Lepisosteus oculatus: one gene and its partner. Each later gene encodes a partner of the first gene's protein in a complex. Links are inferred from orthologs where the notes say so. Each region holds a gene or a part of one and is shown in the gene's direction. Other genes may lie near its edges.

Region 1 (12,512 bases):
GGGGTATGTGAAAAGAACAGATTAGTCTAATAAAAGAAATTGTATATGGCCAATAAAGTGATCTTATCTTATTATTGGGCTTCCCACAGCCACGTATTTCTCGGTGCTAACAGATGAACATTCTCTTTTCTTCCTTACCCAGGGTTTCTGTCACAGGTTGTTTATGAGCGGCCGCTGGAGCAGTGCATCCACGCCGGTCACTATGCGGCCAACGTCATCATCAGGCGCGCAGGGTGCACCTTCCCCGAAAAGCCAGACTTTCACTGACAGCCGAAAGGCATGATGGGAGCGCCAGCTGCTCCTGTCTCTTCCTCAGCCGCCCAACGTCGCCCCGCCGCCTGCATGGAGACTTCTGTGTTCCTGTTTCCGTTCGGTCCCGACTCCCAGAGGGCCACGATTCGGAGATGTAATTACACGAAGAGATGTGATTTAAATGGACTCAAATGAATGTTTTCATTTCCTTTTTTATATGAAAAAGAAGCAGTGATTCATTACTTAAATGGCTGTATTAAACATGTTTTAATTTTTTTTTGGGGGGGGGTGATGAACTAGTATTTGGTTTCCTTCCTCGGCCGTTGGAGACAACATTGAAGCCACATCTGGTTATTTGTTTTTGACAAGGTGCAGTGATGCATTTGCATTAATCAAACAGCAAGACTACTAAAACCTGAAGTAACTGTCTCTTGGTAATTAGCAACTTCTAAAAAGCTCTCACTTCGCTTTAAAATTAAATAAATATCGTCCCTTTCTTCAAGACAGCTCCCCCGATTTCAGCACAGGAGTTTTTATGCAGACTTCGAACTTGCCATGATATACCAAATAGTTTACGAAGCGCACATTTTGAAAACCTGTACAGATGGCCTGGATGACGAGAGGACGTCTCGTCTGCATCCAGTTATGTGTTGAAGCAGGGGAACCTTTTTCCACGTGACGCCATCTTAAACTGACAAAAAATAAAAAAAATGGATCTAACCATATGTTGTTTACTTTATGTTCTGGTTTCTAGCAATGAGTGAAAAACACTTGGGCATGTGCTGCTCTGAAGCGGCCGTCTCTGTCTGCTCCTCAGCAGAAGGGGGTCCTGCCCTGGGGGGCTTGGTGCTGCCCCCTGGGGGAATCATCCCCCACCCCACCCCCCTCCCCTGGGGACACCGTGGGGTTCTGACGAGGTGCGGCGTGTTTCTGGATCTCGATTGCAAGCCTGCGGGGGGTCATTTTTCTCAGTTATGGGATTAGTGGTTGCTCTTCATGGTGATCATTAGAGGGAGCTGGAAATTAGACTGATCCTTGGTCGCCAGCTGTGAGGCTGGTGGGTGATGGCGCTGACATTGGCAGGCAGTGGTCAGAGGGAGGCTTGAAACAGCCCTGGACGCCTCCCTCTCCACGGGAGACAGCAGAGCGGCGAGGTTGGGGGGCTCTGTGCACAGCCCCGCCCCCTTCCTAAAACTGAACAGGGCCACAGCGTGCTCACACTGCATCTCCCCGTTATCACACACACGGCCGGCCAGCGAGCCTCCTGCTCTTCTTTTTCCTCGGCTGGAGCAGGTCACCGTCCCCTCCACAAAGGAGCAGAGAGCAGGATCACAGCTTCTGAAAGACATCTTTATTATGAACAAGAGCGGGAGACGTAGTAGGATAGAGTACCGCACTCATCTTTTCAGAAAGACTTGTTTCTAATTAATCATAGCCCATGTGAGCCGTTCACCAGTAGAGTGAGCGGAGCAGTATTCATGGGCTGCTACCACAGAGTATGGACCACTACTGAAACTCCCATCTGCATGTGATTAATGAAGAAATACAGCAGAATGGTTACAGAAGGATGAGTCACCCTATCCTTTTTCCTTATTGTCTTATACAGCCGAGTTGAGATATCTTAGTGTCTTGTTTTCCACATCATCTTTAACATTAATTGAGGACTAAGTACGGCATATAAAATTTAATTTGGTGGAAATAATTTGATGGGAATTAATGTGTCAGTAAACACACACCCTTTAACTATTAATGTGCATAATAACCTTTTAGCACAAGGGCTGATGTGACACAAGTCAAATATTCTTTGGTTCTTTTGCAGTTTTTTGGGAAGATACAAATCCTCCCCCCAACTCCTCCCGTCTGTTTTAAATGTTTCAGACATTTCAGCCCTAAATTACTCATTTTTAAATTAACACAACTGAGAATACTCATGAGCCAAATCACTCTTAAGCGCTTTGCTTTTAATCTTCGCTAATATAATGAAGTGGTAGCATTTTTCTCAGATCTACATTTACTTCCAGGAACGAGAGGCAGAGAGCTGTGTCTGATTACATCAGTCTAATATGTGTTAAGACATTTATGCTAATGGAGCTTTCTTTAAAAGATTTTTTTCCTAGGGAAAATGTAATTAACAACTTGTTAGAGCCTTTTTTTCCTATCCACATTTTGCAGTGCTTCACACAGATGCAGTTTGAAAAGGATCACATTGCTGATTGGTCCAGATCACTCTCTCACTGGCAGCTGCTTAATTCTGCTGCTCAAGGTGGCAGATGGCAAAAACACAAACATACAAAAGGAAGGAGCCATGATTAAGTCATGGGAGTGTTTACAGTCATTTGGAAACTGACATTTATGGGGGGTTTCACCAATTTAGTTTGCAGATAATTGCATTTGCTTTTTTTATTATTTTTATTGCAATTGAAAGATCAGCTGTTTTGGATTGTCTTATTTTAGTCCTCGGTAGCCTTACAGAGGAAAAAAAAAGCATTGTGCTTTTTTTTCCCTCTTTGCTGAAGGCACTCCCTGTTCCCAGAGACTTCAAAGAAAGCATGCAGATTTCCATGTATACCATCCTAGCACTTTGTAATGGGACTGCCTTGGAAAAAAAAAATCCTAGGGATTGTTTTCAGATAGGTTTAAAAATGAACACTGCAAATGTGAAATAGATCAAACTAGAAGAGAATTTGGGCGTATTAAACAAACAGCTCAGTGCAGCACATTTTTCCTCCTTTTGGTTCCTGACTTCCTCGGAAAACATTTTTCTCTAAAAGCCAGAACCTGAAAGAACAGAGATCTGTCAACTGAGCACTGGCTGTGGGCAGGTGTGTCTGTCTTGAACGTCACCCTGCAGTTGGCAGTGAGCTGCAGGGAGCCATGTGGGAAGAGCCGATGGAGCAGGAGAGATCTTTTAGAGGCCACGGAGCTTCGCCCAGATATTGAGGTGCAATCCTGTTCCATTCCTGTCTGTCTTCAAAGAGAACCCTACCTCTCCCACAAGCTAGTTTCTTATCTTTAGTTAAATAAAAAACATGGTGCTGCAGATCCTTAAATAAGGCACCCATTCAATTCATTTGTAAAGTATATTTGACTGACAGAACTTCAGATTGAATAAAAGGGAATCGATTAGTCGAGGTCAAATTCATAACACTTTGCACAAGGAGTCAGGATTTTTTTCTATGTCTTATGGTATCTTGGTGTTCTTCATTCTTCAAAAGTAAAGAAACGCATATTATTTACATTATTCAGACAACATGATCATCTGAAACAGAACAAACATTGCTCCTGGTTCAAAGTTCTGGCACCTTGGCCAATCTGTGTTGCAGGACTGGGATTACAGTGTTCCCGGAGCAAAAAAGTCTAAGATCCCCACGCTGCCCCCAATCCCCTGACTTCGCCTCACCCTCACACTTCAGACTGTCTGTCCCTTGCCACGGCTCCACTGTGCCGCTGGACAGTTCTGTCTCCAGTGGGAACGGGACATGAGCCTTGGCCATCTGCCAGCGCAGCTAGGTCCCCTGTCCTTGTAGGGACGAGTTAAAAGTAAACAAATACACACTACAAAGAAGAAACTGATGTTTTTTGTAACGTGGCACTGATCTTGGAGACATGTCAGCCAGTTACTGAAGTGATTTCCAGCAGATGTGTTCGCTGACAGCCCTTCCCTCCAAGTGTCTTTGTCAAAAGCAAACGTTAGCTGACATCCTCAAGTATCAGTCACACACATGAAGTCCAGTTCTTCGTCTGGTCCAGCAGATCGGTACGGAATTTGGAGGGAATGAGAGTGAGAGTCAGCATCAGCACATTTATATTAAGCCTTTTACCCGCCTTTGTCGATTTTTGCATTCTTTTCGCCCGTTCTATAGCAGTGGGTCGGCGTAGCACTTTGGTCCACCTCGAACTCATGACTTGACGGGTTATGGGCTTGAGCCTCTGCTGCAGACATTGCAGTTATGCCTTGAGGCAGCTACTGCACCCCAGTGGCCCCAGTCCACCCAGCTGTACAATTAGTGACCAGCAGTGCTGGGGAGTCAGTATCCCACCCAGGCAGCAGTAACACGCTCTCATCACTGAAACCAGGATGAGCGGCTGTGGCTCTCATCACATATATTTTTACCTCTTTTGTAGGAGTGACAAATGTGTTGATATAGCGCCTTTCTTCCTGAAGGATCCCCAAGCACTTTACATAGACAGTAGGAGGGGACTCGCTTACTGCACCTTGGTGGCACATGACAGCAACTCTTCTGTGCCGGCAGCACCACAGCACAGCCAACCACGTGGATTGTGTAAAGCCAGCAGGTTAAACTGCTGTATTTGGTTAAAAACTATCATTTTTAAAGTACTAAAGTAAAGTGTTATTTTTCTGATTCTTTACTGAGTGTGTAATCTTCCCAACAAGTCTCCCTTCTAATCATCAGCCCAGCCTGAAAATGTTATTTCTACATTTACTGCTGTTTGTCAGTGTTCAATGAAAAGACTTCCGTCCATAACATACAATACAGCCTTAATGGGGAAACTACACTGCTCAATATAGGAATATGTGAAACTCATCTAATTAGATTTTGCTTCTAAAGATGCATTAATCATTTTAAGTTCATTTACATAGCAAAGGAATGCTGTCAGAGTTGAAAGCGTTTGTTAATCAAACTTTCCTATGTAATACTATAGAAGTCTCTTTGTGCCTCTTAGAAAAAAACGAAGAAATAGCCTAAATATTTTCCAAATGGCTTGATTACATAAAATTGTTTTTCTTGGCCACGGGACAAGTGTGATTGCCAAGGTACGATACTAAACCCTGGCTGCATTACTCACTTGCAATTAATAGCTTTCTTTCTTTAATAGTTGTCTTTCTTGAATAAAAAACACAAACTCGGCAGAGTGCATGATGATGGTAGGAATACCGTATATAACACAACTCTGCAGAAAAAAAAAATCTCCTGCCTCTATATTAACACTTCTCTACAGGAAGCAATAGTGAAATGATATTCAACAAGCAGAATGCTGTTGCCTTGAAAAACATTCGGAAGTCCCAGCGAAGCTGAACAGCAGAGCTACGTTAGACTCACTCTTGTTGGAGTGCATTTCAGCCAAGCTCTTTACCTTGGGTGACATGAATCTGTTCAGCTTTCAGTGCTGGTGGCTGTTAGGCTTCGGTCATCCTGGGGAGGGGGGGAAGAGGACTAGACCAGTGGATCATAATTAAACAGGGAACAGGCCAGGGAACGCACAAGGAGTTCAGTTGGAAATTAAAAACTGGAACGCTGCTAGAAAAAAATGTAACAAAACCCTTTCGGTATAAATATAATGTATCAATTGCAAATTGATTCTCACCGAGCAATCTGTCATCAGTTGAGTAATAAGCTTGTATTCCCAGTGTGCTGCTCCTTGACGAGATGATAAGGACTACAGGCTAAGTTTATCCTTGTGTGTTCACTGGGTTGCTTTCCAGGAAAGAAGCCAGGTGTGATAGACAAGGTGTTTGACGCCAGAAAGGTGTCACAGATGGCACCGTTTAAAAAAGCAATACATTAAGTATAAATGTTAGTTGGGGAAATTTCATTTTCTTTTTTTTATGGAGCTTTTCATCCTGAAGAATCCGACAAATCTTCACACGTCCTCGTGGCCCACTACTGCCAAAATGCTCCGGCGGATCAGGTGGAGAAATTGTTTTAGCGGCTGAATTAATTGCAATTCATTTGTGTTGATTACCTGTAGGTGCATAGGACAATCAAACTCGAGCGCGGACTAACTGGATCATTAAAGACAAACAGTCATCCATCTGTCTCAGAAGATGAACTTCTGCTTGTGAGGCTCTTGGGTGATACTGGTTCCCCTTAGAGACTGTGGGAGTCCCAGCACTGACTGACATGGACAAACTAGAGTGAGGCCCAACAAGGCTTATTTGCATTATTTGGGAAAGACAAGTACCTTATACCCATACCGAAAACACAGATATCTCAGGCTGTTTTTTCACTCATTATGCAACACCACAACATTTCATTCACAAATACATGGCCATATAACCAAATAAACTAATTTCAGGTACTGCACATACACGGCAAAATAAAATATCATAATCCAGCAATCAACATTTTACCCTGTGGGAACTATACCAATTGGCCATGCGCACATTTCTTTCTCATATCATTTCAATTCAGTTGTGCAATCTGATACCTACTGTCACGCAGGAAGAAAAAGAGACTGACGTACACAGATGTTACAGCTCCTTAGGTTTAAAGGTAATTGTATCGTGATATATGGTGAAAATACCAGGTGGGCTTTTAGCAGTCTGTCAGAGAAATGGGTTCAAACGCTTGGGCTGGGAAACAGGGCGGGAGTCTTGCAGTGTGATGTGGGTAAGGAATAGTTTTGTGGCACAATTATCGTGGGTAGGATTCTAAAATTATTAGTTGTATGTTAGGTGCACATTTGTAGCTCAAAAACGTTTCTCACATAAGGTTTTTACTTCGCTCTGACCCCTGTCCAAAAAGTTCGATCTTACAGCAAGACGAAGAGTTTTTTTAATGCCATCAATGTGTCGTAGTTTTAAGGAATTACGTAATTTTAACTTTCTTCTGAAGGACTACAACCACATGTCATTCCCTGTTAGCCTCACAAATCATGTTTTTGTTTTCACCAGGGAAAAAAAATCCATCTGTTTTACCCTTAAAGTCGCGAAACATACTTGCACTCCATTCCATAATTTAGTATGCAGTATTTTCATATCTTTGTTGCATTATTCCCTTGGATCTGGTGTGGTTTACAGACAGACACGCAGGGATTTAAACACAATTCATGTCTGTCAAAACTATTCTTATTGCAATGACAAAAGTCCTGTGATGTCCTGGCATTTTGTGAAATACGCGGCTTCCTCCAATCTAATCAATAAAATACTTCTCTCTCTCTCCCCTCTAACGATGTTATTAATAAAGGTGGTCTTTATGCCCCCCCTTCCCGAAGAGGGGAGGGAGATTAATTTCCCCTGGTCGCAGTTTTAAGTGTACACCGACAGAGGAACACGACTTTAACTCTCCTTTTCCAAAGTGCATTAGAGGCAGAGTGAAGAAAGGGGAGGGTACTACTTTGTCACAGACTGCTATGCAGATTAACCTTTCAATTAGTTGTTATCAGGTCCTTCTGCCTCAGCGCGAGCTGTCGCGTGCGTCCATTTATTAAATAAAAGAACGCCTTTGGAATTCCCGGTTTTTATTTATTTCTCCTTCATCGTTTAATTACCGCATTTATGGGGAGAAGAGAGGAGAACCCCGAGCAAACTTAAAAAAGGTAACTACCAACAAATGTTCGCATTAGCGTTAGCAGGCATTTTTTTTTCCTCTTTCCCCGGTTTCGTTCGTTCTTCTTCTCGTTCTCGGTCTGGTTATATTGCAAAGATTGAGCGTGGAGCAGCAGCAGCATCATCGTGGAATCATTTCACGTTTAACTTGAAAACCGCGCAGAAATTTTACAGTGGTAAAGAGGCGTGTTACTGGAGAAAATGGTCTGGGCGACATAAGAATGCATCTTTTAAGTGTTGCGATGGAAATTTCCAGATTTTATACATAGACGCTTAGACTTCCATATGACCTGGTTGATTTTATGTCCTCGAAAATCAGTATTTGTCAAGAAATGTCGAGTTGGTGATTTATTTATCGTCAGGTAAAAGATAAATATTAAGCGCATGTGTTAATTTTTTGGGGGAAAGAGGCGATGCAAAATAACGAGAATGAATTCCGTGCATGCATTTTACATTTGTTTAAATTATTTGCACGGGTGGTGAAATGCATGGAAAAAAAGGTTTCACCAAAAAATCGAGAGCATCGTGTAGCCCAGCGCAAAGATGGTGTTACTGCAATTAAAGCAGCGAAGCAAACGTTCTCGTATTGCAAAGCTCCGCTAAGGATATAAACATTACAGCCCGACAAACTTCGGCATAGGCGATTATGTGGTACTTTAGCAAATAAATGATGGATATAACCGTCAACCAATTAAAATCTAAAATGTTCCAATTCACTTTCGACAGTAGCCAATCGATTCGAGATGGAGCCTTTGTAAAGGTGGGCTGGCGAGGGTTGAGTCTCTGCTTGCCAAGTCACGGGGCATTTTTTCAGCTTGTGTGAACTCTTTGCTGTCATTTTTTATCTTAGTCGATGACTCGATTAATAAATCCTTTGGCTAAATCCCGTATTGAGTCGTGCTTTAATTTAATTTTTTGTAATCCCTGGGAAACCGCACCGGGGGATGTGCGAGTGGCATGCAGCGTAATTTACCGATTACCTTAAGAGGAGGGACGCCGAGGAATGATTGGCAGCTGTGCCCACCAGTCGCGTAGACGAGTTGGCCGAAGGGCAGGCCTTAGGCGGATGACTGACAAGACGCTTATCAAACCAGAAATCGGGCTTGGTGTTTCTGGACCAATATTAAAGTTGCTGGGGAGGGCGCATCAGCGTGTAGGTAAGGCTTAATGAGACTCCATTGGGCTGTAATCAGTGTCATGTCGGATTCATGTAAACTACAACATTGTAACAAAATGGCGTCTGTTTAGGTAACACCAGCAGGCAGCGGCGCAGGCAGCCCTACAGCCACTCAGCTGTTAGAAGTCCAGGTTTGTGGTTTGCCTTTCATTCATTGCAGCGCGCACGTTAATTGCAGCATTAACTCGCCGTCATAAATTATCCTTGATCACCCGTCGGAAGCGGACGCACAGTGTGTTTCGTGCGAGGTAACCCAGAACATTGGTGATGCACCTTTAAACTTGAAACCAGAACAGTGACAGGTTTTTACTCCGAGCGACGATGTCCCCCCCCCCCCCTCCTCGGTGGGTGGTTAGCGAGTGTTTCTTTAGTGAACTTCGGGCGCGTCTCAAGTTTAAGGAGAGGCGATTAAACACGCGAGCGCCTGGTGTGAGAGGGATGAGATTCACACCTGGAGTGCTTTCTCACGTTAAATGTTGTTTAATTTTTATTTTCATCCCGATGTGTGTGCGCTTGTTAGAATGGGCTCCCCCCCTCCCTCTCCCCCCCTCCACGGTCGCGCAGAGTTTGGAGTCGCGGCCACGGTCGCCCGTGGGAGTGCGCGAGCGGACCGTGACAGCGGAAGAGGGACACGCAGCGGAGGCGGGGGGGACGGAGTTTGCGGGATGCGTGTCCGCTTCTTGCAGTGCTCGCCTGCCCTGCAGCCGCAGTGTGATCTGGGGGTTGTAGCAGGTAGAGGAGCCCGAGAGAATCTGCACACTGCGGGTCACCTGCTGGCTGCTCGGCGCACTGCTCGCCCCGCAGGCCTGTAGCAGATGGAGAGAGAAAAAAACACTCCTTACGTGCACGTGTGGTTTTGATATCGATATGTTTTTATTGATGGAGGGCTTTTGTGTCCGTTTGACTATTAGATGTTCACGTTTTTTTTTTATTTCACTCTGGTGTACTGGGATGTCTGCTGCCCGGCTACTTTTTAGAGCGGAAAAGTTGCTTATTAAACGTTAGTAAATAATGTGGTTGTTTGGGCGTTTTAAAATACCCCTCCCCTTTTGTTTCCTGTTGTAGTCAGGTACTTTCTGTTCTTCTGAACTTGCTGACCTCCATTCTGACCTACGGGAGCTGTGACACTAGTTGGGACACTAGAGATTTGGCTTTTGTTGACAAATCCCTAGTGTTTCTGATATAAGAGTTGAGACAAAATATGTGTATGCAGTCCCAGATCTCTAGCTTAAAGTCTCAGACAAACCCTGACTGATGGTTTACCGCCACTTCTCCAAATCCGTCTCCAGCTCCAGTCCTCCTGGTCAGACTCGATCCATCTGTCTCTTACCCCCTCCTCCCGATCCAGATCAATCTCACTCCAGCACCACAAGAAGAACCTGCCTGAGTGCTGTCCAAGTGGTCTTTTGGCCGTACTGTACTGCACTGCGTGTGCCCAGTTTCAGCTTCGTTTTTGCCCCTGATCTTCAGCGCGGTTACTGGTGGAGCGATCTGTCCATCTCTGTGTGTCAGCTGGCCCCCAGGAGGTCACTGCAGGGTTTTTTTCGGCAATGGGCGGGCCCCACAGGACTGCAGGAGAGCCTGTTGAGGTGACGCCGCAGGTAGCCGGGCTCAGAATCCTTAAAGGTGACAGTTGACTGAAATAATAGTAGCTATGTGTGACGTATGTAAATCTAATGTTTATGTCCTGTTAACTGAGCATTATTTGTTTTGGTGTAGGGGGAAAAAAAAAACTATTGGAGCCCCTGCCTATTGAAAGTCACCTGATAGGCTTTAGGTTTTGTCTGTATTATTTTTATTCAACAAGTGACCTGTGACTGACATCCATTTCCTCATTTCTTTCTGCATCTCATGATGCTTTTGCAAAAGAATGTCCACAGAATCGGGGGTGATTTACAAGTACGCATATCTCTCTATCCTCAGAGGTGTTCTTGGAGTGGAGTTGCTGGTGAGAGATCTCGGTACCAGTAACGGCACTTTCTCAGCTGGATGACCACCTTGTAGCCCGCCCGCCCTAGTCATGTCTCAGATGTAAAAGAGGGGTGGGCCTGGTCAGAACAGGGCTGGGAGACCTCTTAAGGAAAACAGCTTGCTCCTACAAGTGGTGATTGTAGACCAGTAGGTGGCGCTCTTTCATTTGGACCACGATTTATAAACCATTCCTCCAGTTTGGAGGTACTGTCCTTCAGATGAATTGTAAACCCAGATCCTGACTTCTGGGTCATTAAAGATCCCATCAGTATCTACCTGAGGAGTTCTGGCTCAGTTCCACTCTGGGCTTGTACAGTCTGCCCTCCTTCAGGCTCCTCTTAATTCCGCTGGTGGTGCAGTTTCCTGTCTCCTCCCCCTGATCCGCTACGTGGTGGGGCTGCTGTGTGTGGACACAATGGGTGGACATAAAGCAGTTTGAGATCTTTTGAGATGAAAATTTCTACACACATTAATAAGTAAAGCCGTTTGTCTCTCAGAAAATCGCAGTATGCGAGACGCTTGTCTGTTCCAGGGATTAGAAGACTTAATCTTGGCGTGAAGTCGTTGCTGTCAAACATTTGTAGCAGGTATTAGCGATGCTTGTTTTCTGGCCTTTTTGATGTGATCCGTTCTTTCATGCTGTAGACGGGTTATGATATTATCTCTTTGCTTTCTGCCCATTCAGATATGGTCTGCAGTGGTGTAGAGCCAGGACGTTTGTCTGTGCATCAGGGGGTCTTGATGTGTTACTGGCTCTGGCCTGTGCCAGAGGTTTTGTTGGGATGCTCCGGGAGAGTGGCAGGAAGCGGGGCCTTGCCCTTTTCCACGGGTGACAAGTGCAGATGTGCTCATGGCAGGTTTGCGGACCAGAGGGCTCCACTTGGCGAATGTCAGGAGACGAACGCTGAGGGTGTTCTGCAGCGTCAGCTGTTCAGGTTCCTTGAACGCGAAGGGAAGTAACCAGGCGGGTTTATTTTTTGCTCTATGATAAAGATCTTTCCGAGGCTGAGCAACGGAGACGGCTGAGGTTAGAATCGAGATTTTCCCCAGGTATAGGATTTCCCGTGGAAATACGCAGGATAAGGATGAAATACCTTTCAGTCTGTTTAAAAACCGAACATGAGTGTTTAAAGCAAGGTCTTGGGGTTGGTGCTTTCTGTTCATGTCTCATTTTCAGTTCACTGCCAACAATACACTGTGACGGTAGCTGCAGCTCTTTCCTGTGCTGATGATAAGTGGGCACACCTGAATTATCCCAGTTGTTTTGTTTTGTGACTGATGGAAACTCTTAAGTAGATACAGTAGTCATGCAGTGTCGTGTATCAGTCCACATCTGCTCTCCGCTTTAGTTCTTTGAGTCGCAACCTGAAGTTAAACCCGTCCTGTTTTTTATTTCAAAATCGAATCCCAACGGATTACTGAACCGCTTTTAGGAAGCAAGCCTGTTAATTCATTCTTGCTGTAGTAATCTGCTTTCTCTTCTGACTTCTTTTCGTAGGTTTCCGTCGAGTTTTCCGAGCCCAAACCATTAAGGATTTGTCTTCAGATGAACCGTGCTCGGCTGTTCACTTCCCTGCTGTTCCAAGGATTTACAGTCATGATGCCACGTGCTGCACCGCCACATTTCATTCCAAAGTCCCTTTGGAGCTATGGATGCATTTAACGCGTTTCAAGAATAACGGGAAATCTCTATGGATCGCTCTGTTCTGAAACAAATTCTTCAACCATGGTGAAACTGGCCAACCCTCTGTACACAGAGTGGATTCTCGAGGCGATACAGAAGGTTAAGAGGCAGAAGCAGAGGCCGTCCGAAGAGAGGAT
Region 2 (12,400 bases), on another chromosome or scaffold:
GGCCCTGTACATGTGTACTGTAGGTGAGTTATGTGCATTGGTGTGTGTGAGTATGTTCATGTGCTTTTATTAGTGAGCAGTCAGACCCCCTCCCACCCTCAACACACGTCCCACCTCTTCCCACTTGGGTAGCGCAGTGAGAGTCTGGTCTCTGCAGTTACAGGCAGTGTCCTTGTGCAGCTGGTCTCCATGGTAACAGGTTCTGTGCGCTGTGTTCAGCAGCTTTGAGCTGCTAATTAAAAAGTGAAACTGTGGTTAACTGGAATGGGGGGGTAAGGGGGGGAGGGGTCATAGGGCAGTTACATTTCTTCCTGTGTTACCAGTCAAACAGCCCTGCAGGGCTGGACCTTTTAACAACTTACACAGAGCTGGAGGTTTGTGTTTCTGTGTGTGTGTGCTGAGACTAAGGCTTTCTTTCTTGCCAGCGGTGGACCTGCTGGAAAAGATGCTGGTTCTGGACTGCGACCGGCGACTGACTGCGGCCCAGGCCCTGGCTCACCCGTATTTTGACAGCTTACGGGACCCCGAGGATGACATTGAGGCCAAGCCTTACGATGACACGCATGACAACGCCACCTTACCGGTCAATGAGTGGAAACGTGAGCCAATACATTGACTCTCCACCTTCTATTATTACACTAATAATCAGTCTGTCTAGTCCTCTTGTCCTGGTGAGGATCATGGCTACAGTAACTCAGAGTATTATGGTTAATAAATTCAGTGCTATTACATCTTTCGTGTTTGCTGAGAAGGAAGTCGCCAATATGAGTTTGCCAAGCTATTTTTCTCATGTACAGTGCCACCCGGTGGATAAATCTAGTGTTTGCTCTGACACTGCTGGATTTTTTACCCAAGATTTGCCTAATTATTTGTCTTCTCCTTCCTTCCTCCCCCAGGGCTGTCCTTCAAGGAAGTAAAGAGCTTTGTCCCGTTTCCACGGCGAGACTCCAAGAGGCGGAGCACACTGACGATGTCACATTGACGTGGGAGGGAGAAATGCGGACTCACACATATATGCAGACACACCTACTCGACAACACACACAGACATGCCTGCTGGGGCTCTAGGGGAGAGAAGAGCCTCTTAAGCCTTATTTCACTGAAGGTCTTAGAGATGATCACCCTACCACAGTCATGCAGAATACGCTCAGTGTGCCGTAGAGCCAGCATAAGAACAGATGGATGGTTAGATGCTAGATGAGGCTGTTTTTCCATTTTGATTACTTGTAGCATATTGATCTGAGGGTGTTTTTTCAAGTCTTCATTGAATGTTCCCAGGGAAAGATTCTGGGACATCTTAGAGTTCTCTGTGGAGATTAGCTGAAAGGATTGTTTACTGTCACTCCAGCCACACAGAGACACACAGGTGATCATGTTTGAGGCTTCATTTATTGATGTAGTCCAGTTAATGGGGAAAGCTCAGGGGGGAGCTTTAAAACATCTTTTATTTTGATCATCTTGTAGTGTCTTTTTTATTTTAGGTGGATTTTTATTAATTACTTTTCAAAAACCTTTGAACACATTGGAAAATCCTTAAATGTACAGGACTTTTAAATATGTAGTCAAATGTTTTTTATCTGAATTTAAGTTTAACAAGGTGCTTGTATTTTTGAGTGAGCAATGTACTTCTTTTCTATTTCAACTATCTGAGAACACATCCTTTATGTACAGCATTGTTTGTTATTTTGGTTAAAAAATGTCAACCAGAAAACATCTAAGGGTTAACAAAAAAACATAAAGCTATTATTAACTTTATATATAGTATAACTATAAGGGATAAACCCTTATCCTTTCAAGCGCATAGTACGTAGTGTGAGGCCTGATGCAGATGCTCTTGAGGGTGGTTGAAATTCGCTCATTTTGTGAGACAATGGGAAACTTAAGGTGTCTTTGGAAGTGCTGACTGTGCTCAGGCAGGTCGAAGCAGACAGATAAAGGTGCTAAATAAAACCCATGTTTATGAGAAATGTCTCTGTGCTAATGGAAAGCCTATCTATTGCCAGGACAGGAGTTTCATGGGTTGAGTCCTGGCTGGGCAGGATAAGTTATCTAAATGAATTTATTACACTGGGTGAACAGCCAATAAAAAAAAGGATGAGAACGTTAGAGGGTTTCATGAGACGTTACAGTTATGGCATGCTGAGTCAACTCAGAAGCTCAGTCTTACAGGAGCAGTTCACCAGGCTGGCCGATTTTAATCCGCAGAGCTAAACACATTCACAGTCGTGGAGTCAGAGAACCGCTCACAAGAAGAAAGGGCGATCTTAGAATTATTCTTGAGATAAGAATTATTCTTTCACATGCTCCTCTGATAGGAATGGTAGGAGGACCAGTGGTTGACCAGTCCAGGCCAGAGCCTACAGTACTGAAGAGGTTAGAGTCGGAAGAAGCATCAGTGTGCAGGCTGCAAAGTAACAAGCAGGGGTTAAAGCAGGGTTAATTCAACACTGAACAGTAAAAAAGAAGATAACCTGTGCTTGTTGAAAAATACCAAGATCATCCCTCGGACTCTCAAAAGCACCCTTTGTAGAGCACAGCGTTTCTGTATCTCATGGAGGGCTGAGATTGCCTTATGTAAAGCTTATTCAGCATCAACTCAAATGGTGTCTGGATTAATTGTTTGTGTACATTTTTTAAATGTGTTATGTTTTTTTTTATTCTACTCCTTGTAAAATAAAGAGATATTGAATATGTGCAAATTAAGGTCCTTAAAGTGAAATGTTGCCACACTCTGGTGTTTACTGTCTTTGTTTTATTACTTTGATGTGTTTATATTTTTAATGTAATAACCTGTGACTTATCTTTGCCAACAAAAAATTGGTTCAAGTTTGTGGAAGCGTTTAATTTAAATGTAAAAGCTGAATTTAACATTTTTAACTAAAAGACCGTGATGATATATTGTGTCAATAGTGTCCTATTATAAATTATCCTAAACTAAGTTATTCTGTTGATTAGGTCGAGATTTACACATGTCCCCAGTTCACACAGAACCAATAATGGAAGGATGTGTTGAATAAAATGCTTCTTTTGAAAATCCTCCCACCAATGACTGGGGAAAAAGAAGCAAAACATTTTTACAGCATTATTTTAAATAAATGCACTCTTAATTTAATATTAAAATTCCTGAGCTATACTTCAAGATCCATGAAACTCGCCAGTATCCTGAGATCTCATAATTGTTATCGGACAGTCTTTTTCATTTTTAATACCCCTTGCCATTAAAGAGTTTTCAGGATGCACCCTTGTTTCCTTCACAAAGTGGTAATCGTACAATGTACTCAGAAACTCGGTAACAACAATAAAATGATTCACAGTAAAAAAATTAAAAGAACTGCTTCTATAAGCGGTTTCTGCTCATAATGTCCTTGATATTTACTTTTGCATTGTCTTGTCAGAACAATTCTGTCAAGCACAACTAAGACATTTACAGCAAGGTCTGCTTCAGTCATTAGAGGCAAAATATTGAAATATTTTTTTTTTAGATACTGTCGGCGTTCTGAGTTGCGAGTTCACAAGGCCTTTTTGTTTTGTGAAAAGGTCATCTCTCACGGCATCAGCTGATAAGAGATATGGAGCCTGATTTTCCTGGGCTGACTGGGATTTGACTGTCCTTCAATTGCGACGGCTCTGGCTGCAGTAGCTGGCACACAGCTTGCCCACAGTGCAAAGTGAAGCCTTGTCAGGATAAATGAGGGTTGTTGCTGTTGCAGAATGGGAAGGGAAGGGCAACACAAGCCCACATGCTGATAACTTTTCTGCTTGAAAGTGCCCATTAAGCAGAACTGAAGCAAAAGGATTTGGAGAGAAAATGTGTAATGCTGCTTTTATTTTATTTTTTTGGTTGGGGGAATCAGTAGTACAGGGGTTAGCAATGTTGCCTTGAAGCCTGGGGCCCTGGGTTCAATTCCTGGGGTGCTGTTTGTGTGAAGTTTGTATGTTCTCCCCTTGTTGGCATGTGTTTTCTCTGGGTACTTCGGTTTCCTCCCACAGTCCAAAGACTTTTTTTTAACAAAATAAACTTTAATTGCATGATACACATCACTCCTGCAATTTGTACATTCTACCAAACCACAAAGACTACTCACGTTCTAAGAAGGGTGATTGTCCTTTTTTCAATCTGTGCAAGTGGTTGCTGGGGCTGGATTTGCACAATAAAAAGAGTTCCTCCAAGGCTCTAACACTTTGTTGCTTCATTCTCCTGCAAATCCTTCACAGGGATCCTCTCCTCCAGCTCCCTCGCTCCCCACTCTGTGTGTTGTGCTGGATGAGAGTGTTCCTCGTGTTCCACAGTCCTTGTTTTATTAGGGACACCAGTAGTTAAAGCAAGGAGAATTGGGACTGTGGTTAAGGATCTGTGCCTGTGGCTGGAAGGTTGCCGGTTCAAATCCCATGGCCAGCAGAGGAATCCTACTCTGTTGGGCCCCTGAGTAAGGCCCTTAACCCCAACTGCTCCAGGGGCGCTGTATAAATGGCTGACCCTGTGCTCTGACCCCAAGCTTCTCTCTCCCTCCATCTGTCTGCCTGTGTGTCTCATGGAGAGCAAGCTGGGGTATGCAAAAAGACAAATTCCTAATGCAAAAAATTGTATATGGCCAATAAAGTGATCTTATCTGATCTTAAGTACTGTGTCCCTTGTTCCAATCTGGTCGGTTCTGGCCCCAGCGGGATGCACTGGTAGCTGAGCACTGTTCTCGTCCAAGACAGTGTAAATGAACGTTGGGCCCTGGTGTGAGTGTGAATGAATGTTTGTGCGCCCTGCGATACAGACTGGCGCACTATCTAGGGTGTACCTTGTGCCTTATGCTTGCCGGGATGGACTCCAGCTCCCCTGCGACCCTGAATTGGATAATAAAGTAGTTGGAAAATAGATGGATTGAATCAGTGTCATAAAATATTTGCAAGACTAAAGGTCAATTTACAAGGTAGCTCAGGGATGTGAGGGTTAACGGAGGATCATCCTGGCTGGTGACAGAAGTGGGCAGCTGTGTAGGTGTTGCAACACTTGGGGACACTCGTGGGGGGGAGGAGGGGTCGTTCCTAAAAACATTTGTCACTACACTGCTTACACCTGGATTTCTGTTCCCTGTGAAGAAATGGAAAACACTTTCAGAGGGTAATTTCACAGTCCTAGGCAGTTTACCACACATTCATTTTGTATCCCTTTTTCATTCATTTTTTATTTTAAATGGCACTAAAATGTTTTGGGAAGCTTTTAATGTAACTGTGTGTGTCTTGGGGGAGGTAAAGTGGGACCTAGATATGCGCATGGGGGGAAGGGGTGTTTGGTGTGTAGTTTCAACTCCACCCACCCCTGAGAGACTGAACTGTAGCAAAACATGCAGAGCTGAGCACCACATTGTAACAAGCAAGACACCATCACAAGATCAGTCATACCAGTGGTTCCCTACAATGGTACTGGATGGCCCTGTGTCGGCTGATTTGTTTTTGTTGAGCTGAGCTATACAAATCCCAGTGCTTAAACCCAAGACCTCGTTCTTGAGAGGGGAATATACCCTCACCTCAAGATATCGCTTCCAGCAACCTCTGCATACAGATTTACAAGCAGACGCTCCTCAATTTGTTGAACCTAATTTTATTGTGGTTTACGCACTTGAATGAGGGCAGTTCTGAAACTCAGGAACTGGCACAGAGTCGATATAAATTACAAGCACTCCATAAACTTGGACAGCTGACAGCAACTTTTTAAAGTCCGTTTAGAAAACGAAAAGCAATGACCATTTCTATGATTAAGAAATCGTCTGGATCGTAAAAAACAGTCGACAAGAGTTAGAATCATTGGTATAAACCTCTTGCTTAAATTTTAAAGAAGACTGAAGTCTTCACTTAAAAAAATGCTGTGCAACACTCGATGTACACGTGTGCTTCGCTTCTGGGGGGAATGCCACAAGGGCAAGGTCATGGAAAACGATAGCGTTACCCTGTTTTTCTTGCATTTTAGCTCGTGTTTTTCACTCGGAAAACTTTTTTTTTCCGTTACTGACACTGGGAAAGACCCGGGATTCATTAGAGTGAGTGGAAAAGACACCTCTTGTACTTATTTTAAATACAGTCAATGAATCCGTAATATCTTGAAAAAGAGACTGAAGAAGCATTCCAGTGAACACTAGGTCCTACTCCTAAAGACATGCAGTAGGCTACCATTAGCTTCTACAGACGGACTAAAAGCATAATGGTTATCAAATCAATAGTACGTTATTATGACCATCACTGCGATACGCACATTCAATCTCACTTTGTCAACAAAGAGAGGCAGGGTGAAGGAATTCAGTCGAACGCGGTGCGAGGAGTGGGCTTGCACAGAAACCACGCCATGCACATGTATTTTTCTACAGGCGGGGGTAGCCGCTGCCGCATAGTAAAGAGAGCGCCCGGCTTGCCTGCTTTTCCTGTGCAGCTCCAACAAGTCCGCCGCACGCACTGTGCAGCGCTGTACCCGGGATGAGCCCGGAGTAACTGGCATGGCGCGTATGAAGGGGAAGGTCTACGTACTGGTCGTGTGTGTTGGCGTTGTGCTCCAACACACGGGACCGGAGTGTGTGTGGCGATGTTTGTGTCGGAGGGAGACACAGTAATATCGTACACTACCACGGGGTTTCCATGTTTGTCAAACAACCAGCTTCGGCAGCTCGCTTCTTTTAAAGGGGCGTGTTCTCGCTATCTTGATTGAAAGCGCCGCTTTCCCTTAGCTATCGCTGGGGAAAAAATCCTTTCGTAGCCAGACCAGGGTATCTACCTTCTCGTGTTTCTCTCAAATAAACCTTGGCACTACACTTGCCTGTTCTCCCTTAATTCTACTGGAAAACGTTCAGTCGTGGCCATGATGGAGGGTTGAAGCTGGGAAAAGGACGTTTGCACACCGAAATTTGCCGGCTTTTTCGGCCGAAGCACCCAGAGCGACGGCTCCGCTCTCCTTGGCTGTTTTTTAGCTGCTCTTGCTGTCGAGTTGCCTTTTGAAAAACAAGGTAAATGTTTAAAGTCGATTTTTTCTTATTTTTTGCGCTGCGGCGAGGTTGTTTTTAAGCAGGGGTGTAGACGGTTTTTTACTCAGAAAATTAATGGAGATTCTTAACTGCCCCCCCGGTCAAAGAAAACGGGCAATAACATAATACTGAAGGAGAGTTTTAATGTGATCTTGAGGGGATATGGCAGGAGAGGAAAGGCGCTTATTAACCGACATTGTGTTTGGGCCTGCTTGTTGTAGCGTCGTGTTGTAAAGAGAAATATTTCGATCAGCACTACAGTTTAGCGGGGAAGATGGCTGCCATCTTCTCTCCTTCTGGAAATAAAACACAGCCAACCAAACTATGGCGGTTAGGACCGCCTCTGCTAATGGCTGATTGGCTTCTTGAAGACCCTGTGAGGGCGGCAGGAGACTCTGATTGGCCGAGCGGAAGCTCACTTATGAAAAGTGGGTCTGGGGTGTTCTTGGTGGTTAAGTGTAGGGGATTCCTTCCAGAAAAATCTCCCCGAAAAACACAAGCAAAGAAAGAAGGGTATATCGGCATGAGCGAATAAACCGTTATGTCAGCTCTCAGCAGCGTTGTCAGAGAGAGATCGCGTGTTGTGGCAGTAGTTTGCGAGCTGTGCGGGTGTGTGGAGAGATGAGGAGCTTGATTTGCATAGGCCCGCCCCCAACAAGCGAAAATAAAAACATGTCATTTTGCAAAAGTTTTGCCGCGATCACAGCTGAAGGGGCATTTGCGTGTTTAGGTTGAATTTAAGACCAGTAAACTCTACCCGTTGATCCGGTTTTGATCCTTTATAAATTGAATTTTTCACTTTCTTGTCCGTATTTGATTAAACTCGCCGCTCCAATGCCATAGGCAAGAAAGAGGGAGCCTCGACTTGTTTTCTTCTTGGTGGTGGGGGACAGTTTGACAAAGTAAAATGAGTGGCTTTCTAGATAAGGACACAGGAGGGGAGTGATGCTCTCATTGAGTAGCTGGCTGAACAGGTGACCGGGATTATTTTGAGGGGGAGTATTGAATTTATCCCCCGATGCGCAAAGAGGACAGGAGCTCTAACACCGCGCCGTCAAGTCACGTGTGAGCCAGCTGTGTGTGTGCTCGGTGCAAGATCACTTCCGCCTCCACGCGTCACGACGCCTGCGCAGCGAGGCGGGAGCATTTAAATCGAAGGAGGAATGGTTGTCTTTTGGGTTGGGTCTCGCCGTATTTATGGTCTATTTACGTTTTTACGAAACATTATGGCCGCCAATTCAGGGAGTGCTTTTAAAATGGGCTTTTTAAAGCAAGACCCTAAAAGGATTATGTACCGCCGCAGAGCTTTAATTATTTTCTGAACAAAGACAAAGTTGTGAGTGCAAAGCGCGAGGAAACGTTTAGTGGATTCGGCTATCACTGTGACTCAAAGGTGTTCCGACCGATAACTGCAAAACAGTGTGATATTTCTCATAAAAATATAGATCAAGTCACATTCCTGATTATTGCCTTCATAGGCTGGCCCTGACACTTATAGGCACTTATAGTTTGGTATGTGCCGTTGATCTAAAGTAATAATAAACTATTTTATATAGCACCTTTAAAGGTGGCTTCTCAAAGCACTTTACAGAATGTCAACAACAATAAATAAAAAGAACATGCAAGATAAAACACAATTACAATACAGAGAGGAGAGGGTCGATGGTGGTACTAAGTATAGTAGGAGCAGAGGGGTAAGGAATGGAACCAGTTAAGTAAAGGCTCTTCTAAAGAAGAAGGTTTTGAGTCTGGATTTGAAGGAGTTTAGCGAAGGTGAATCTCGGATATCCTTGTGGAGAGAGTTTCAGAGCTTGGGGGGGCGTAACAGGAGAAGGCCCTGTCACCCATACAATGTAGACAGGCTTGGGGGACAGTTAGGAAACCAGAATTAGAAGAGCGAAGGTTGCGAGGTGGGGAGTAGGGCGACAATAGTTCAGACAGGTTCTTGAGGTGCTAAGCCATGCAGAGCATTATAGGTGAGCATGAGGATTGTAAATTCCACGCGGAATTTGACAGGAAACCAGTGCAAGGACGTGAAGAACACTTGCACTAGACCTGGTCAGGAGTCTGGCTGCCGAATTTTGGACATTCTTCAGTTTGTTCAATGTAGATTTAGATACCCCAGTTAGTAGAGCATTACAGAGCTTTTCAGCCCCAGTTAGTGATAGCATTGGGCGTAGTGTAGCGATATTTCGATGTTGCATGTTTGCATGTTACGTCTGTGTTTGTGTTAGTTGCTGAATGTATCTGTGCAGACTTGCCTCTGACATGATTTGCCTAGTGTTAGTATCCAGCAAGTTCCCCTTGTGAATTGTGCTTTTATATTGAAGATGGTCCTCTCTGCTGTGAACGGCAGTATGTAAAATGGCAGTGCGTTATGGAGCCAGCTGTCATATCTCCTGAGAGAGTGCTGGACTGATGGAGAGGATGGGTCAGGAGAGCCACGGATGGCAGAGCTGGTGCCACAGGTCCTACAGGTTTGTTCTAGCCAGCAGCTGTGTGTGACCTGTGGAGAAAAAGGTGGTTCTGACTGCACTAAGGAATTGATTGCTGGGTTGGAGTTGTTTGGAAGTCTTTGTGGCCCCCTTAGGGTCAATTGTTAACACATTTATAATCATAAAAAAACAATGGTGAAAAGATTTTTACTGGTGAATTTTTCACACTTGATTTTCACATTTGATTTTGGCATGGAGTTAGCTGTATTCTCTTAACATGACCAATGGGATTTGAGACTCCTTCAGTGCTGCATATATTTCCCTGTAACCCACTACAAGCGCGTCAAATACAGAGGTCCAGTTTACCTCTTAAATGCAGCATTTCAGTGCAAAGGAGAAGTGATCTATAACGAATATCCTCTTTGCATGGATATGACCCAGAAAACACTATATGGGGAATGATAGTGATATACATACTACTATATTGAATATATATATATAGAAGGCAGTATCGAAGTTGTTTCTTTATGCAACGAGTCTGGCAGTGTGGAACAAGGCACCTGGCTATGTTGTAGAAGCTGATACCCTGGCTTCCTCCTAGAAACAACTTGGCTTCTAGGTTCCTTGGATCGGTTCGATATTGAGTACTGAATGTGCCAAAGTGTCTCCTCTCGTTTGTAACTGTTTTTGTGCACTGAAGCATCTAACACTGGAAAGGTAATTAATCCCACAGCCTTCCCTCTGCCCTCCAGCAGAAAACTAGGCCAGCTGAAGAGTATGGAGCAAGGACCCAGCAAACGTAACACTCCTTTCTTGTGAAATAACATCTCATCAGAATTGATGTTCTGCCTTTAAAAAGCCAAGCACAGGGGTGGCCTACGACTGGAGCCACAAACTGGAGAGCCGTAGACCAGCAGGTCTTATGTGGCACATCAGCAAGACCAGGCAAGAGCAGCCTCTGTAAACTGTACTAGAGCTCAAGGAACACAAAGGTGAATTTATTAAATCAAAAGCCTGTCTTGATGTTTAAAGATCTTTTCTGCAGCTGTGGTGAAGTTATAGTTGCAGGAACAGAGGCACCGTACTGCTACAGACAAACGTGTCCATTCCTAATGTTTTTACAGGTGGCCGAAGAGGCTCTGCCTTGAGACAAGAAGTCTCAAGATTTCCCAGTGAACTGTTCTGGGAGAAGTGGGAATTTGCAGGTTTGCCCACCTGACTTGAATCCCAGCAGCTTTAAATAATCGGTGTTAATTGCTTACTTTAATTGACACCTGAAGAAGGCTTCACAGCCGAAACGTTGTGCTTTCTCTCTTCTCTTTTCAGCATGGAATGAACCTATTACTTATTACTTTAATTGATGATTATAAAGCTGTGAATAGGTGATCAATTTATGATGAACAGACCAAGGTGGAAATGACAGTTGCCAAGTACTCCCTGAAGGTGTTTTCCTTTGAAAACTAGAGGGGGGTCTTCATTTTAAGAAGCAGGTACAGGACTAATGCAAGTTCCATTCGACATTTGAAGACGTGAAAGCAAATTTAAAAATAAGCCCCACATAGAAAACTGAAAACAAATTAGCCTGTTGTAAAGATCTGGCTGGCGCAAAAGCCAGAAGACGAACCACTGGCAAGAGTATTTGGGAGTGCTTGTTTTAATATGGCATGTCTCCATGTCCTGGAAGCTCTGCAGTGTCCTGCTAGCAGTAAAGAGTTTGAAATGTAAATGAGTTTTGATGTAGTTTTGTTCATCAGCAGGTGATTGTGGAGCCTGTTGAGTCATTGTGATCAGTTGCCACGTTGGGATAGGAAATTAGCAACCACTTCCAAATCGTTCAAAACAAAGTCTGTTGCCATATAAGCTGACCCCCAGTTTTCTCTGTCTTCTTCTCTCGGTCTCTCCCCTGGCGTCAGGGAGGTAGTGCGGGGGGCAGATGAGGAAGCCGCGGAGGCGGGGGCGCCAGGCTGGGGGGGTGGCGGCGGCAGCAGTGGGCGGCGGCCTGGGCCCGCGCTCGCCCTCCCCCTACAGCCTCAAGGTGTCGCCGGCGCGGGAGACGCTGACCTACGCCCAGGCGCAGAAGATGGTGGAGGTGGACCTGGATGGCCGGCTGCACCGCATCAGCATCTTCGACCCGCTCACGGTCATCACCGAGGACGAGATGACGGCGCAGGACATCGCCGAGTGCAACAGCAACAAGGAGAACAGCGAGCAGCCCCTGTTCCCCAGCTCCAAGCCTGGCAGGAAGCCCCCTGCCACCAAAGGGAAGAAGAAGGACACCGCCAAGCATTCCTCCTCCTCCTCCTCACACGTAGGAGGAGGGCAGCACAACCAGCACCCTCCATACCACCATCACCCCAACTCCCACACGCCGCATCACGCTCTCCCCAAGCCCACCTTCCGCATCCTGGACTCCTACGCGCCCTCCGAGGCCCCGCCCCTCCCGGCCGCCTACTACCGCTACATGGAGAAGTCCGCCGAGGAGCTGGACGCCGAGGCCGAGTACGACATGGACGAGGAGGACTTCGCCTGGCTGGAGATGGTCAACGAGAAGCGGGTGTCGGACGGGCAGGCCTCGGTCTCGCCCGACGCCTTCGAGCTGCTGATGGACCGGCTGGAGAAGGAGTCCTTCCTGGAGAGCCGAAGCCAGGGCCCCTCGCAGTCGGCCATCGACGAGGACGCCTTCTGCTGCGTCTGCCTGGACGACGAGTGCCTCAACAGCAACGTCATCCTCTTCTGCGACATCTGCAACCTGGCCGTGCACCAGGAGTGCTACGGCGTGCCCTACATCCCAGAAGGCCAGTGGCTGTGCCGCTGCTGCCTGCAGTCGCCCTCCCGCCCTGTGGACTGTGTTCTGTGCCCCAACAAGGGAGGCGCCTTCAAACAAACCAGCGATGGGCGCTGGGCCCATGTGGTGTGTGCCATCTGGATCCCAGAGGTCTGCTTCGCCAACACAGTGTTCCTGGAG

What was found.
Region 2: kat6b (region 1) and brpf3b share a complex: the UniProt entries of both Homo sapiens proteins name them as parts of the MOZ/MORF complex. The link is inferred for Lepisosteus oculatus from reciprocal best matches to the Homo sapiens genes KAT6B and BRPF3.

The regions. Positions count from the first base shown.
Region 1 is NC_090699.1:17,865,854-17,878,365, forward strand, and holds the start of kat6b (histone acetyltransferase KAT6B), read left to right. Parts: upstream 1-7,295; 5' UTR 7,296-7,533; intron 7,534-8,717; exon of another isoform or gene 8,718-8,851; intron 8,852-12,189; 5' UTR 12,190-12,417; coding exon 12,418-12,512. Other genes in the region: adka (adenosine kinase), read left to right, coding at 143-267. UniProt on the Homo sapiens protein: Histone acetyltransferase which may be involved in both positive and negative regulation of transcription. Required for RUNX2-dependent transcriptional activation. May be involved in cerebral cortex development.
Region 2 is NC_090700.1:35,946,971-35,959,370, reverse strand, and holds the start of brpf3b (bromodomain and PHD finger-containing protein 3), read left to right. Parts: upstream 1-6,381; 5' UTR 6,382-6,982; intron 6,983-11,348; 5' UTR 11,349-11,368; coding exon 11,369-12,400. Other genes in the region: mapk13 (mitogen-activated protein kinase 13), read left to right, coding at 426-599, 897-982. UniProt on the Homo sapiens protein: Scaffold subunit of various histone acetyltransferase (HAT) complexes, such as the MOZ/MORF and HBO1 complexes, which have a histone H3 acetyltransferase activity.